2 linked regions of the Mytilus edulis genome follow. The protein of the gene in region 1 purifies or fractionates together with the protein of each later gene. This does not show direct contact. Links are inferred from orthologs where the notes say so. Each region holds a gene or a part of one and is shown in the gene's direction. Other genes may lie near its edges. The genes, in order: cilia- and flagella-associated protein 20 and CLK4-associating serine/arginine rich protein-like.

What was found.
Region 2: the proteins of cilia- and flagella-associated protein 20 (region 1) and CLK4-associating serine/arginine rich protein-like purify together in Homo sapiens (affinity purification with mass spectrometry; 3 studies listed by BioGRID and IntAct, counting the BioPlex papers as one, with this or other methods). This does not show direct contact. The link is inferred for Mytilus edulis from reciprocal best matches to the Homo sapiens genes CFAP20 and CLASRP.

What each region holds. Positions count from the first base shown.
Region 1 is NC_092348.1:4,770,549-4,778,703, forward strand, and holds the start of cilia- and flagella-associated protein 20, read left to right. Parts: upstream 1-4,790; 5' UTR 4,791-5,141; coding exon 5,142-5,225; intron 5,226-5,851; coding exon 5,852-5,931; intron 5,932-6,487; coding exon 6,488-6,599; intron 6,600-6,920; coding exon 6,921-7,109; intron 7,110-7,414; coding exon 7,415-7,537; 3' UTR 7,538-8,155. UniProt on the Homo sapiens protein: Cilium- and flagellum-specific protein that plays a role in axonemal structure organization and motility. Microtubule inner protein (MIP) part of the dynein-decorated doublet microtubules (DMTs) in cilia axoneme, which is required for motile cilia beating.
Region 2 is NC_092346.1:7,115,953-7,124,421, forward strand, and holds the start of CLK4-associating serine/arginine rich protein-like, read left to right. Parts: upstream 1-4,846; 5' UTR 4,847-4,984; intron 4,985-8,469. UniProt on the Homo sapiens protein: Probably functions as an alternative splicing regulator. May regulate the mRNA splicing of genes such as CLK1. May act by regulating members of the CLK kinase family.

The sequences.
Region 1 (8,155 bases):
GAAAAAACAATACTGCATGGCAAGAAATAAAAAAAAATGAAATGACAATCATAAGGGAGCTAGGATGTTATTTGAAAAAAAGGCAGAACATGAGTTTTGAGTGTATGTAAAAAGTCGGGACAGAGATTTCAACTTAAAAAGGCTGGATAAAAAATTTCATCATAGCACCCAAAATAAATCAAATAGTATCTACCTGAAACAATTCGAATGAGAAAACGGTTTACCCACTATTATGTTGTCTTGCAGTCTCATAGCTATGAACTGGAAAGAAGAATATGTTTAAATTATAGTTTTCTGGTTTTTACTGGCATTGACTGGAACTATGGAAGGTGTTGCAAGGTGGGTTTTTTTATTTTATTTTTGAGGGGTTTAAAATATTAAAAAGTATCAAATTTAGGATTTGTAAACGTTCGATCACATTTCGATGTGCCTAATTAACACCAACCTGACACAATGAACAACTTCGTGAACGCTAAATTGTTCTCATAATGTCATAATATTGACACATGACTCAATCTTTCCAATGAAAATAAATATTAGAGTAGTCTCGCGTGAGTCTTGCATTTTTCTAAAATAAAAATAGCTGAAGTGAAATAATTGAAAATGATGCAATAATTTTTGCCAGTATAGGAGAGATTTTGGGAAGTTTTGTATTTATTTTCAAATGAAAATGTTGTTGAAAAGTGCATTTACAATGCCTCCCTAGAAAATTATTTGTCTAGATTTTATTAAAAAAAAAATCTACATCCTTTTCATTCTTTTCAAAATCATGCAATTGAAAATCCCCGTGTACTTGATATTCATTTGGAAAAATCTCCATCTTTGTGTAATGGAATAAAAGTTTTAGAGTAACACTATCACCCGAGTAAAAATATGAAAATGAGATCAGAAAAACTGTGTGACTAGCTACACAGTTGGGTGGATTACAGCTCGAACGATACGCTAATTTTAATGCACTAGATGCGTATTACAACGTCTTTTTCAAAGATAATTGGAGACCAAATTATTTTAAAAAACCAACACCAATACAAACGACGAAGAGGAAATCAAATCGAAAGGGACCTAACAAGTATCGCCAAAACCGAACAAGGAATCAGCTTTGCATTAGGTAGAATTATTCCTTTTTAGTTTCCCAAATTCATGACCGTAAATATGATTTAAGCAATATCCGTATTTTACTGCAAGTACCAATGTAATCGGCGAACACAGCAAACATACATGAAATATTTGCAACTGGACGTTTAGCAAACAGCAATCTGAAGTGTCGCATAACCTTGACTTGCTAATCATCCATGTTCCCTGTAAATGTACGCGTGCTTAATATGGTTTCATCCACTTCATTTTAACTTTGGTGGATAGTTGTCTCATTGGCGATCATACCACATCTCCATATTTTCATAAAAATGGTCAACCCTATCAATATTGGATTGGTTGGAATTAGTACGTGCTCATCTTGTGGACAGAGTCTTCTCCTTATGTATATAAATGCTCAAATCACCGGGTATTGTACCAAAATTTTACTGTTTGCTAATCAAAGTCCTATGATAAGATTATTTTAAGATGCTTAAATAAAACCCGAGACATATACATCTGCATATATGTCTATGTATATAAAGATGGACTTTTTCGGTGATATAGCTATAGTAAAGGAAAAAAGTTCTTTACTGATTAAATAAATTCATAAGGGGTTCCGCTGCTGATTAAATAAATTCGTAAGGGTTCGTGGAACCCAGTTTCTCGCCTACTATTGCTGTAAGTCGCAGGCTCAACAAAAATGAGGAAAAAAATCAATAAAAATATTTCTCTTGATACTATCTTTTGATTGTAAGAAGCTTCTGTCCAAGTTTGGTAAAAATCCAGATTAGTTTATGAATCTAATAAATGTTTTAAAAACTTTAACTGCAGACTGTATGTAATGTTAATTGGAAGAAAAGTGCATTTATAAGTGAAATGCATGCCGATACACAGGAACACAATTTTGACAAAATTTCCTTTTAGATTCTAGCATTTGATCATAAATAAGCTTCTGTCCAAGTTTGGTACAAATTAAAAATAGTATAAGAAAGTTATTAAAATTTTAAAAACTTTTAACCACAGAGTGAATGTAATGTTTCCCCGCATAAAAACTTAAATTGAGAAAGGAAATGGGGAATGTGTCAAAGCGATAACAACCCGACCATATAGCAGACAACAGCCGAAGGCCACCAATGGGTCTTCAATGTAGCGAGAATTCCCGCACCCGTAGGTGTCCTTCAGCTGGCCGCTAAAATATGTATACTAGTACAGTGATAATGGACGTCATACTAAACTCCGAATTATAAACAAAAGACTAAAATTAAAAATCATACAAGACCAACAAAGGTCAGAGGCTCCTGACTTGGGACAGGCACAAAATTGCGGCGGGGTTAAACATGTTTATGAGATCTCTATATATATAGCCAATTAAGAAAAGTAAACGCATAACTAAGTCCATTTATATGTAAAATACGGAAAAAAATGGAATTTTATTTTTACAAAATTTACTTTTGGATACTACCTTATGATCATAAAAAAGCTTCTGTCAGTGTTTGGTAGAAATCCAGTATGGTTTAAGAAAGTTATTAAAACTTTAAAAAAAACTTTAACCACAGAGTGAATATTTGTGGACGCCGACGACGTCGACGGAATGTAGGATCGCTATGTCTCGCTTTTTCGACTAAAGTCGAAGGGTCGACAAATAGGAACATTATAAAAGAAAAATTCGTGAGGGTTCCGCGGAACCCAGTGTCTCGCCTACTCTTTCTGTTAATCGCAAGCTCAACAAAAATGAGGAAACAAATCAATAAAATATTCCTGTTGATACTATCTTTTGATTGTAAGAAGCTTCTGTCCAAGTTTGGTAAAAATCCAGGATAGTTTATGTAATAAATGTTTAAAAAATTTAACTGTACACTGAATGTAATGTTAACTAGAAGAAAACAAAATTTACTTCTGGATACTATCTTATGATCATAAACAATCTTCTGTCCAAGTTTGGTACCAACCCAGGATAGTTTAAGAAAGTTATTAAAATTTTAAAAACTTTAACCACAGAGTGAATGTAATATTTCCAGGCAGTCCATTTATAAGTAAAATACGGAAAAAATGGAATTTTATTTTTACAAAATTTACTTCTGGATATTATCTTTTGATCATAAACAAGCTTCTGTCCTAGTTTGGTAGAAATCCAGGATCGTTTGAGAAAGTTATTCAAATTTCAAAAACTTTAACCACAGAGGGAATATTTGTGGACGCCGCCGACGACGACACCGAGGACGACGGAATGTAGGATCGCTTAGTCTCGCTTTTTCGACTAAAGTCGAAGGCTCGACAAAAATGAATTTCATCCTCAACATCATCAGAATAACATCTGTCGCAATTATTACTTCATAAAGCACATTTGGATCAATATATCGCCAAGTTTCATCTTAAAACTTGCGATTACTTATTCTGAACTTTGAATATTGTTTTCTTTTTTTTCATACACATAAAAACAATATAATATTGTATAAAAATACAAATAAATTTTATAATCGGAGTTTAAATATCGCTATCCAGCCACAAATGACTTGTAATAATTGAAGAAAAGGATTTTCTTTTTCTTTTTTTTCAAGTTAAAAGGGGGGGGGGTCATTGTTTGATCATGCAGATGAGATTCAGCGTAAATTATCTTATCTTTCCTTTAAGACCTAGAAATAAGAAGTGTTATGATTGCCAATAAGTCAACTCTCCACCATATGACATAAATAAACAAGTGCAAATCACCATACGCGGCCTTCATAAATGAACAAAACCCATACCGCATAATAGTTAGCTATATATAAATGACCCCAAAATGAAAAATATAAAACAATTTAAATGAGAAATCTTACGGTTTGATTTATGTACGCAATCTAGTTACTTGGGATGATCAATGGCTATATTCACAGATGTATTTTGTATCCCATTTTTATTCGGGGGAAAACCTAATAAGCATGATAAGTTAAAGGTTATATGTTTTATACTACGCCGAGTTCACATTAATATTCTATTTCATATAATTTTTTTTTAGTAAATTATAATTTCTATAATCAATGATATTTCATCATATTTCAAATACACCAATTTGCTCAGTCCTATCAATATGAAAAAAATATTTAAATATTAAACGAAATCTATTTTTACTAAAAAAATACGTTACTTTTGGATACTCCAAACTGCATCAATATGTGATGAGCTTTCTCAATCCGCTACTATTTAAATTTACTGTAATAAAGGTTGACAAAGCTTGCGGATTCTTATGATCTTTTAATTCAAATACACTTTAATTAAAAGGATGTGTATACTTTACAATTGATATCAGTTTCTTTTTTTCTAATCAGACCCCCTCCCCCCAATAAAAAACCAACATATTCTACACTAGGCATTATATAGACGAGTAAGGCTAGTACTAACCTTACCTCAAGTGGTTAACTCTGATTCGCCATGATTTTCTATCAATGGACCACTAGACGTTTTACAGCACTCAATCTTCATCATTTCAGTAAAAAAAAAAACGGGGAAAAAAATAAATCTTTTTTTTTTAGAAAACAGTATACTTTGACATGAAATTATCGCCAAACACCTATTTAATTTACCTCTTGCAAATATTAAGACCAGTTTTTTAATCAGATTCCACAAATTACTTAAGTTGTTGATATTCACCAAAAAATACACTGTAAAACAACGAATGATCAATGTAAATAAAACCACGTGTGTCGTCTACTCGCTACAACAGAAGTACTAAGCGTGCCACTACATATATCACTACTCCAAATCCATATATTCAAATATCTTTTTAATTAAGGCATGACATAGGTTGAAACTTTCTGGTAATTTTCAAACTGCATTATTGATATAAATAATTTAAAAGAATAACAATAATATATGTGTTTATACTAATTCTCAATATAGTTCCCTAGCGTCACACGTAGCAACTAAAACCAAGCGCGACCGTATCGCCACCCTTGGCAACTTCTCTAACTTAACCGACACACAACTGAACCTTCACTTGACAACTGTCCACCACGAGAGAAGGAGCGTATTAGTGTGCTGTCCAGGAGGACTAAGAACTTAGAAAATTTTCACTATTATAGACAATAACAATGTTCAAGAATACATTTCAGAGTGGGTTCTTATCCATACTTTACAGTATTGGAAGTAAACCGTTACAAATTTGGGACAAAAAGGTAAGTTATTTTCATTCTATACACCGGTTATCATTACCATAGTGATACATTGATGTCAACATGAAAACCTTCAACTTCATCTAATAATAACATGACAGTATGCATAACTTGCTTCACAATTAGTTTAATATTATATGGTGTCATCACCAGATTTCTATTTCGAAAAATTAAGGCATTTGACAAGCAAGAAACTTTTGTTTTTGTTGACACACGGAAGTGCACGTGTAAACAACTTACAAGTGTTTGAATGTTATATGTTATACACAAATATTTTAATTTTATACACTACCATCGAGATTTATGATGACGGAAGTGTACAATTATTAATTTTTCGGAAGTAATGTCACTTTTAGTAGCCATATGTGATGTTGATGTTTATGAAGATGGAGATGTTCGTCATCTCGCTTCATTGAATTCTATGTCATTATTTTCATTCAATTGCACATTATAGAACATTTTATTAGAAAAACACTACTAGTTAACGATAAATAAAGTATGTTATATAATTTTGCATGGAGTTAGACCTCCGTTGCCAAGATAGTATTTTGTTTCCTGATCATCAACATCATGGCCGCCATTTGCATTCTAATAGACAATATTATAACATCATGTTATTATCGTTGTAGGTTAGAAATGGTCATATTAAACGTATAACAGACAACGATATCCAGTCCTTAGTTTTAGAAATTGTTGGTACAAATGTCAGGTATGTACTTAATCAACCATAAACAAATATTTCTTTGTTTTGAAAAAGAGATAATTTTGAATTATCTCCCTTAAGTAACATCTATGGTAACACATAATCAAACACAAATATACATGCATTTGGTTATTTAATGAGACAAATATAGCTAACTTTCATTTAATGCAATTTTAATTATTCTTATTTATGCAAAACATTACATATTCAATATAATTAGTTGAATACTGCATCCTATATTATTTTAAACATCTTTATTATGTCAAGTGACATGTGCAAGTTTTTAAAGTGATTCTGTAACACATTAGTACTTTGAAAATATTTTCTTTAAAATGTTAATCTTTTAAATATTTTCTATGCTACAAGTGTTAAAATTATTTGTTCTTACAACATAACAAGTTTGAATTGTTTTTCTACTTAAATAAATGCACATTTTATGTTAAATCTTGTATGTTTATTGACTGAATTTTAAAATTAATTATTGAAAGAACATACTTTTTATTTCTAGTAACAAATGTACCGGTATGAATAATATTTTGATATTTCCCTTTTCTATTTATAGCACAACATACATCACATGTCCAGCAGACCCAAAGAAAACATTAGGAATTAAACTTCCATTCTTAGTTATGATCATCAAAAACTTAAAGAAATATTTCACATTTGAAGTACAGGTAAGAATGTAGCAATTATATTTTTAATTTAAAGTCGACCTAAAAATGTTAGTTATGCAATTCTATCACTAAGCATGAAATGTGAATATGTTAAATGAAGAAACTTATCTTTACAAAAAAAAACATGTTACTTTAAAAGAACCCATTGGATTTCTGTTCAGAAATATAAATAAATAAACACACAAATGTGCATAATTCTTCAAATGTTTTTTTTACTATTTCTGTTGCAATTTAGTATAAATAAGTGACGAGTCAATAGACAATGACTTAACCATGATGGTCTTAAGTCCTTTTATAACATTTCTTTCTGTAATATTTTAGGTCTTAGATGACAAAAATGTGAGACGAAGATTCAGAGCTAGTAACTACCAAAGTACAACACGTGTAAAACCATTTATATGTACTATGCCAATGAGGTTAGATGATGGATGGAATCAAATTCAATTCAACTTGTCAGATTTCACAAGGAGAGCCTATGGAACAAATTACATTGAAACACTTAGAGTACAGGTTAGTATTGATTAACTTGTCAATGTATAAATCAGGTTAAATTGTCACAATCTTATGTTTAAGGTTAAGGTCTTGGGAATTATGGTAAAATAAGGAAATATATTGTACCACACAAACAAATAGTTACTTTATTTTACAAGAACAAAAAAGAAATTGGTCCTTTTCAGGAAATAGTGTAAAAAAGAATTGAGAGATGGTAGCCTTTCAACAATTTTATAACAAACTTTTGATGTACAGTTTTGCATTTTTTAATACCCATTTATTACAGTGATATTTTGATTTATTGTTTCTATTTCTTTTTTCAGATTCATGCCAATTGTCGAATTCGTAGAGTTTACTTCTCAGACAGACTTTATTCAGAAGATGAATTACCCGCAGAATTTAAATTATACCTTCCGGTGCAAAATAAAGGAGGCGTGAAAGCATAACAAAATGACTAATTAGACAGTGTATATAAATTATACGAAAAATAAAAATGTTCAAATGCTACTCAAGAACTGAAGGTGAATTATTGCGAGAATGTTGGATATTAAGAGATGCTGCCTGTTTTTACAAATGTCTTGCAAAAATGTTGTACGAGAGACCAATCAAACATGGCTGATTCCTGCCTAGAGTCTCGTTGAATATGCCATGATCATATACGAAACAAAGTGTTCATTTTAAATTGTCATTGATGTCATATTTCATATATCTCTTGTTGCATGAACAGTTATTTTCATATTTATAGGAAGACTCGGTGCAATTATACAGCCAGATTTAAAAATTGTTTATTAATTTTGCATAAATGATTTGATATTATTGTCTTTCTGGAACAAAATGACATTTAGTGCTTTAAAAACAATGTTTTCAAATTTTATACTGTGTTTATATTCCACACATATAGTACTTATTGATATGCAGATAATAATGTAAAGTTTAAATTTGGTTGTATTTGCCTGTAGATCTCCATATCTCCCGTAATTCTCAGGATATTTTTAAAACACAAATTGCATCTAGCATTTGAATAGAATACAAAATAAAGAAGATTTAATTCCATTTTAAGTTGG
Region 2 (8,469 bases), on another chromosome or scaffold:
AGAAATTCTTTGGCAAAACTAAGTTTCTCTGTATAATGTTTGAATTGATTTAAGTAAAATCAGGAAATCCTTAAAATTTGAGATGTTTTATGAGACCAAAATAAGTCTCTTCATGAGAGGTCCCAATCAATTGCATGCCACAGGTTTAACCGCATACAACATATATACCATGAGTAAAGACAGCTTCAAATAGGAGTTGAGAATATCAAGGCATTCATTTAGGAAACAAAATATAAAGATGTGATAGATAAAATAAATGCATCCAGAATTCCAGATTATAAAGCAAACTGAGTGCATAAATTTATATTGCGATAGGTTTGTGCAATTTGCATAAGTCATCCGGTTAGTAGAAATTAGGATTTGCCAATGGATTATAATCGGGAAAAATATGTACATTCCCCAGTAATATATAAAAAAAGTCGAGCTTTAAAATAACTATTAAAATAGAAGCTGTAAATATATACTTTCAACATGCTTCTTCTATTCACAGTCAATTATTTCAATTCAAAAGCAAACACAAATTCAGCAACAATCTTTTGGTGAACCGGCAGTCAGCGGTCTTAGGTTCATGTATTGCTTTTCTTTTTTTTTAAAGAGAAAAACTTGTTTGTGCGTCTTATGTATTGGAAACATTTTTGTTCTAATAATCGATCATAAATATATATATTTTTTTTTAACTTTTATATCATGAAATTCATTACATGACTTCATAAAGTATATCGTTTTTTAGATATTCTAAAAATAACCGTGCACTATATGCTTTTGCCACTATCCGCTGTTTTCTATCTTCCTTCGAAAATATAGTTTAACATGTGACTATCTCTGAACGAATCAGATTAAAATACACAATACACAATATATAAACAAAGAAATAAGGTGAACTATGTAAGTAATACAGGATATCACAATTACAGTATGATGTATGAACATGTTTCAACTTACAAGTCAATCAATCGACCTCATTGACAGCCGTATTCATGTGAACTTTAATTTAATCCTTAGCTAGAGATTTATAACGCATGAATTGTGTTTGTTCTGTTTTGTTCATAAGGAAAAGAGCAGTTGCAAGTGAAACGAGGGTAAATCATTTAATTGACTTATTCGATCAACAAAAAATCAATCATACAGTTAAAAGCGATGATAAGCATTGTTTTTCATCTAGCTATAACATGAAATTAAACAGACCCATCTAATCTAATTGCACGAGTTCGCTATATCTATTTATATCTATATATATGTTAGTGGCCTAATACGATATATATGAGGTCAGTAAATTCCATTCTTTCAGGATTTTCAGAGCTGAAGACTGAAAGGGCTTTAAAAATAAAAACACACGTGACATTTTTTTTTATGTTTAGCACATTTCTAAACTGCCCTAGAGAACCTGGGACGTCCCAGAGAAAACGATATTATTTTCATTTGAAATTGTATAAATACTGGCGTTCATTACTTTTCCTCAAGGGATAACGTGTCACTTTGCTGATTAAACAAATAGGAATGGTTTCAATTGAAGACTCCATCCATTGTCTTATTTTATAAAACTATTATTAGAATTAATCTAATGTTGTTACATTTGACCTTTCAAGTAAAAACTTTTGCATAGTCGTGTAGCTCCGAACGTTTCTACGTATTTATGCACCCTTCCCGTTCAAAACTTATTAACTAACTTATTTGTTTTCTTTAGAGATTCTATATATATAAAGAAACTGTTGTTCATGGTCGGTTTTCGTTGGTTCATATCTGTCATATTTGGTTTTCGTAAATTGTTTTGCGATGAATTAGACAATTGTTTTTCTCATTGAGTTATTTCATATTTTTTATGTCGGGGCCTTTTATAGCCGAACTATACTGTATGCTTTATTTCTTCTTAATATTATGCTGAAGGCCGAACAGTTGCCTATTATTGCTTACATCTGACTCACATCTACTTCATACATTCCATTGGTGGATATTATTAGTTATCGTATAGTGTGCTAGTGACCTAATACGGTATATATGGGGTCAGTAAATTCCATATGGGGTGAGAGCGAAGCCAAATACAATGAAAGTCCCAACTATGTACTGGCTTCCGAAGCTACACAAAAAACCTTAAAAAAATAGATTTATTTCATCTTCAAGGGAAACCATTGATCCACTACTAAATTGTCTATTCTACTTACTAGTACACTTGGTACAATAAAAAACCTGATAATAAATTGTTCAAATAAGGCCTTTGAACATAGTGGAATTAATTACTTTTGGAGTGTCAAAAACTCGTTGGAAGTACCTGATAAATTGCATGCATATATTGGTGATTTTAAATCTGTTCAAAGTTTTGATTTTTCTACCCTATATACCACTTTGCCTCATATTCTTATTAAGAAAAAATTCACATCCCTAATTAAATGGGCATTTAAAAAGTCAGAATGCGACTGAGTACATATGTTCAAACTCTTTTAGGTCATTTTTTAGAAGCAATAAACAAAAGAACTATGTCAATTGGACATGCTTTGATACTATATATGCGCTTGAATTTTTACTTGATAACATCTTTGTTCGCTTTGGAGATTCCATATATCGTCAAGTTATTGGAATTCCAATGAGGACTAACTGTGCACCACTTATTGCGGACCTGTTTTTGTATTGTTATGAGTTACAATCTATGACTAAAATTAGCAAAGACCCATCGAAACAACATTTGATACAAAAATTTAACAATGCTTTTAGATATTTGGATAATATATTGGCTCTCAATAATGACGACTTCAGTATGTATACTAAAGAAATTTGTCCTGTTGAATTTACTTTTGATAAAGCTAATACTAGCAATGACCACTGCCCTTTCCTCGATCTTGATATCTATATCATTAACGGGAAGCTTAATACAAAAATTTATGATAAAAGAGATGATTTTTCATTTCCTATCGTTAATTATCCATTTTTAGATGATGACGTTCCCTTGTCACCGTCTTATGGTGTTTATATATCTCAACTTGTACGATTCGCTCGTGTATGTAACAACGTATTAGATTTTAGCGAGAGTAATTTGTGTATTACTGAAAAATTATAACACCAGGGTTTTCGATATCACAAACTAGTCAAAACATTTACTAAATTTTCTCATCGGTATAAGGAAATAATTCGTAAATATAACTCAACATGCAGACATCTTATACGTTCAGGTATTTCACATCCAATCTTTTATGGTAATATTCTTTACAAAGCACAAAAATGTTAGTATTCACCTCAAAAGCTTACAAAACCTTTAAACAGAGAGGATATAGTTACGATACTGTTGTCAGGTCATTAAAGATTGCATATTTTGGCTTTAATATTGATTCACTTATAGGGTCTTTGCATCGAAACTAAACACATTTATTTGAAAAAAACAGTTGTTGGCATGACACGGGTTATGTTCTTCTCATATATTTTATGATAGTACGATATTAAACCCCTAACGGGAGGGATTGTACCTGATATTAACCTGACATAATCTTTCAATCAGTTTATTTGAGGTCTGGAGCTGGCATGTCAGTTAACTGCTAGTAGTCTGTTGTTATTTATGTATTATTGTCATTTTATTTATTTTCTTTTGTTACATCTTCTGACATCGGACTCGGACTTCTCTTGAACTGAATGTTAATGTGCGTATTGTTATGCGTTTACTTTTCTACATTGTCTATATAGGTATAGGGGGAGGGTTGAGATCTCATAAACATGTTTAACCCCGCCGCAATTTTGCGTCTGTCCCAAGTCAGGAGCCTCTGGCCTTTGTTAGTCTTGTATGATTTTTAGTTTTAGTTTCTTGTGTATAATTCGGAGTTTAGTATGACGTGCATTATCACTGTACTAGTATACATATTTTTTAAGGGGCCAGCTGAAGGACACCTACGGGTGCGGGAGTTTCTCGCTACATTGAAGACCCATTGGTGGCCTTAGGCTGTTGTATGCTCTATGGTCGGGTTGTTGTCGCTTTGAAACATTCCCCATTTCCTTTCTCAATTTTATGCTCCTTAAAATAAACATGGTGGGTTTTTTCCACATGAGATGTTAATTTACACAACTAGTGATAAAACAGTTGTGTTCACAGCCGATGTTAGTTTCCTCCAACAGCAGTTGCCTAAAACCATGAATGCAAGTATGACCCCCCCCCCCCGCCCCCAGTATATGAAAGGAATGAGTAACTATATTCCGGATGATGCATGACTATCTTGAGTACCAGTCGGACATAACATGTGATGACTAAAGTGGCATTCATTTTACGTGTCTGATAAATGTTAGATCGTGCGTTGATATCTCTCTCGTAAATAGCCTGACTAGTTTGATATTAAAATTTTGCAGTGACATGGCTCCGGCAAAATCGAAAATTTACTATTTTTCTGGCTCTTAGTAAGCGATAGCCAATTTTGAAAGCAAAAACAGCAATCTGTTTACAGATAGGCAAATCATCAAAGAGCTGAATGATTACCATTCAAAAGCGGAAAATTAATAATGAAATTTTTTGAATTATTATCTCAATAGATAAGATTCCATATGAGAAATTATTGATTTCAGCCTACTTTAATATCACTTGAATGCCTTCGACCTGCATCGGACTGTTACCAAAAATATTACTGTCATTTTAGTATAGATCAGTATATACCCATGCAGCTTAATTCGACCCAGGAATCAGATCAATAATTTCAATTTTAAAAAAATAGAGAGAACTTAATTACATATTTCTTCTCAAATTGACGTCTTGGTGGTTTTAATTTTTCTATTTCTGTATAGAAACACCCTGCGTGAAAATGAAAAACAAATTTTGCACATGTTACAAGGACGAGGAAATTTGGGACAAGAGTAGGTATTTCATATGGGGCGAAAGCATGTTAGTGATTACCTCCCTTTGTTGCTTAGTCAGAAGCGAAATGCAAGATCAATTTGAGCTCCGTATTAGACAATTTTCTAGTTATTAGCCTTATAAGCACAAAAGGAGAGCCACACACTATTTATAATTGTTTCACAGGTGAGAGAAATTGTAAAGATTTACATTTGCATGCGCAGAGTTTGTTGTGTCGGGTATGGCCTATGCCATGGGATTAATTATTAGCCATTTACTCATTTGACATTGATTGGCAGTGGCCGGTAACTAAGAGTTCTTGAAGAAATTGAAGTACTACATAAGTTAAAAAGAGTGACCGACTTCAAAATGCATGGTGGCATCTATATCTTGTATCTCCCAGGGCCAGATCCAGTCTTTTTTTAAAAGGGGGTCCCAACCCAGGACAAAAAGAAGGGTTAGGGGGTGTTCCAACTATATGTCTCCATTCAAATGCATTGATCCTCCTAAAAAAGGGGGTTCCAATCCTGGAAACCCCTGGACCCACCACTGCTTCTGTTCTGCAGTTTGATGTATGCTATATATACAGATATATGTGCAGAATAGCTCTACAGGTTATAAAAAAAGAAATAATCTACTTCTGCATTTCTATGCCAAAGCCACTAATGATAATCTGGGTCTGTTTGCTCAAATCATGTTTGCCTAAAATCGGTTTTCATGAAACTTATACTCAATGGTTATAATACCACAAAACAGGTTGGGGACAACCCGCCAAATGGGGAACTGTTCCCCAAATGAGTAACAATCCCTCATTTGAGTAATCATTTCATAATGCTAAAAACTAAATTTTCTTAAAATAGGTCTTTTTAGGTAAGGCTTAAATTAAAATATTGATTGTTTGCCCTTTACCGACCGACCCTATAAATTCGTTGCGCCTGAAAATCTTTTATTTGTATTTACCAGAAAGATTTTATTTTATGTTATTTTTTCGTTCCTACCAAAAATCTTATATTTGTATTTCCCGCTCAAAACTATTTTATCCGGAATTCTCGGGTTTTATCTTTATCGTACAAGGTCCAGTCTGTTTGGTATCACCTGAGCGTTTGACATTAACACTTACATTTGAAGTTTCAAAGCATTTGTTTGAAATCGATTTTCAGCTTGTGAACGCTTTCTGAAATCATGATATGACGTACGCTACTCTGTACCTTTAACTTAAAAGAGCATGGTTCATTTACAAAAAAGTTCGTTTGATACAAAATTATCATCTTGTGTACAAACTAATTTGTAAACGGACGTTGTATTCTTTGTAGGGATGGCCTTTTGTGATCCGCAGATCTCCTGATGATTATGTTAACGATGCCGCTATATTATTTATATCTGACATGAACCAAAAGTGACAAAACCCTGTAAAGTGGAGAATATCTTGCAGTAAAATCGCCAAGTTGTCCATACAGATCATTTATAAATGCGATGTAAAAAACGTGACAATTGTCAGAGTTTTAGGTCTAGTAGCATTTTTATTGGAAACAAAGGCACACACGATGTTTTTAACACTCTAGGGACTTTTTCTACTAGTGATGTATGTCTGCCCAGACATATCTTATCAGTACAAAGTTATCTTTTACAGAAATTCTTAAGGTAAGCATACAAGGTACGTAGTACAGAATATAAGTGCAAGTTCAAACTCTTCAAAGTTCAGGCATATAAACGTTGAAGATATGCGGCACAGCTCTATTTAGTTATATTTGAAAACAAAATAGTAGTGCATATGAATTAGCTTCACATTCTACATGATTTTTTTTTTAAACTAATAGTCCCAGAAAACTTATTTGCAAAAACAAAACGGACACCAATGACATTTATATGCATCTATAAAATAAAATATTATACCTACCTGCCTACCCATGACAAATAATATACCGAGCCAAGTTATTTTTTTGGGGAAAAAAATAAAATATTTTACCTACCTACCTACCCTGTTTCAAAACATAGGGTCGGAAAAGGGCAAACAAACAATATTTTAATTTAGGCCTAAAATGGCACAAATTTATAGAAAATGGAACAACTTCTCCCAAAGAAATAAATTTTTATTGTGGGTTCAAAAAAAGTTAGAAGCCTAGAAAATAGTCAAATTTTCTGATTTTTCATAGGCTTGTATCTTCTCAGTAAATTAAGATAAGGATAATCATCTTTTAGAAAAGTTGCTGCATTTTTCATGAATATGTGCCATTTTAAGAAAAAAAGCTCAGTTAAGAAAATTTTGTTTTTAGCACTACAAAATGATTACTCAAATGAGGGATTGTTACTCATTTGGGGAACAGTTCCCCATTTGGTGGGTTGTCCCCAACCTGCAAAACACAGCTCAATTTGAATTTTGTTGGTGTCACTTATACTGTTTTCGAGTCATGCTCCGTTACAAATGGAAAAATTGTTGAAATTTTCATGTCTGTTCTCAAACTAAACTTCAGTTTGCCTCAACCAAATTATGGCAAATATTCTGAAATGTGACAAATGTATACACGACACTCATTACCACAAACACAAATCCATTTTAAATTTTGGTGTCATCCCTCATACCATTCTAATGTTTTCCCCATTAAAAATGTATAATGTAAAAAATTGCTGAATTTTCAGTTCTCTACATGTAACTTTAGTTTGCATCAACCAAATGTTACGAAACTTATGCAACATGCTAATTTTAAAAAACACATAACTCAGATCAAGTATCAAGTTGGGTAGCTTCACTCTTATTGTTCAACAGTTACATCATGTATATGTCCCTATGCAACTTTGAAAACAAGCAGTGGCATCATCTGTGATTCATGACACATCATCATTTTTTTTTTTCGTCTTCAAGTTAAAATGCAAATGTAACCATGGTAACTTTAATTCATTTATTAAAATTTTGCTACATTTTATAAGGAGTAAATGTCCTTCACATTATAAATTCACACCAGTTAGTTCTGGTTAGGAAGAGTACAATGTATGTTGCAGGCAAAATATTATAGGAGTCCGGACTTTGACAATGTACAGTCAGAGCTCAGACATAGGTCGATTTCTGTATTTGACTTAAAGAGAACAAAACATGTATTTATTGTAAAAATGTGTTTTCAATTTTAGACTTATCTAAGTCAGATAATGACAGACTTGTTTAGGTCTATTTTTGTTGATGAAAAAACTTAATTTTAATTGGTGGCCAAAGTACACCACCTATGACAGCAAAAAACTGTCTGAGTGTTCACAAGGACTTGAGCTACATTGTATCTATATTTAATTATCTAATTGAACATCCTTACTAAACACAGATGTTTTACCTCATTAAGTGTGGTTCCAGGTGGTTGCATTGTAAGGTTAATTAACATTATCTCCGATTTTTTATACTCTCATTCATATTTTTCTTCAGAAGACAAAGCATTGTCTTTCAATGTAGTCATTATTTGATTTAGATGCATGACCTTTTTATAAATATGCATGGGTCTTGAAGTTAACCAATTTTGGTAACTTATCGATTTGTAGGAGTCGACATTTGCAAATTTTTGATTCTGGTCAATTATTTCTTGCTTAACAATATTTGACTAATTAAAGTCGTATTTTGTCTTGCATTAAAGGGAGACAAATCCTAAAACTTACAAATTTAGACCTCTATGAGTCAAAAGCAGATTCAGACT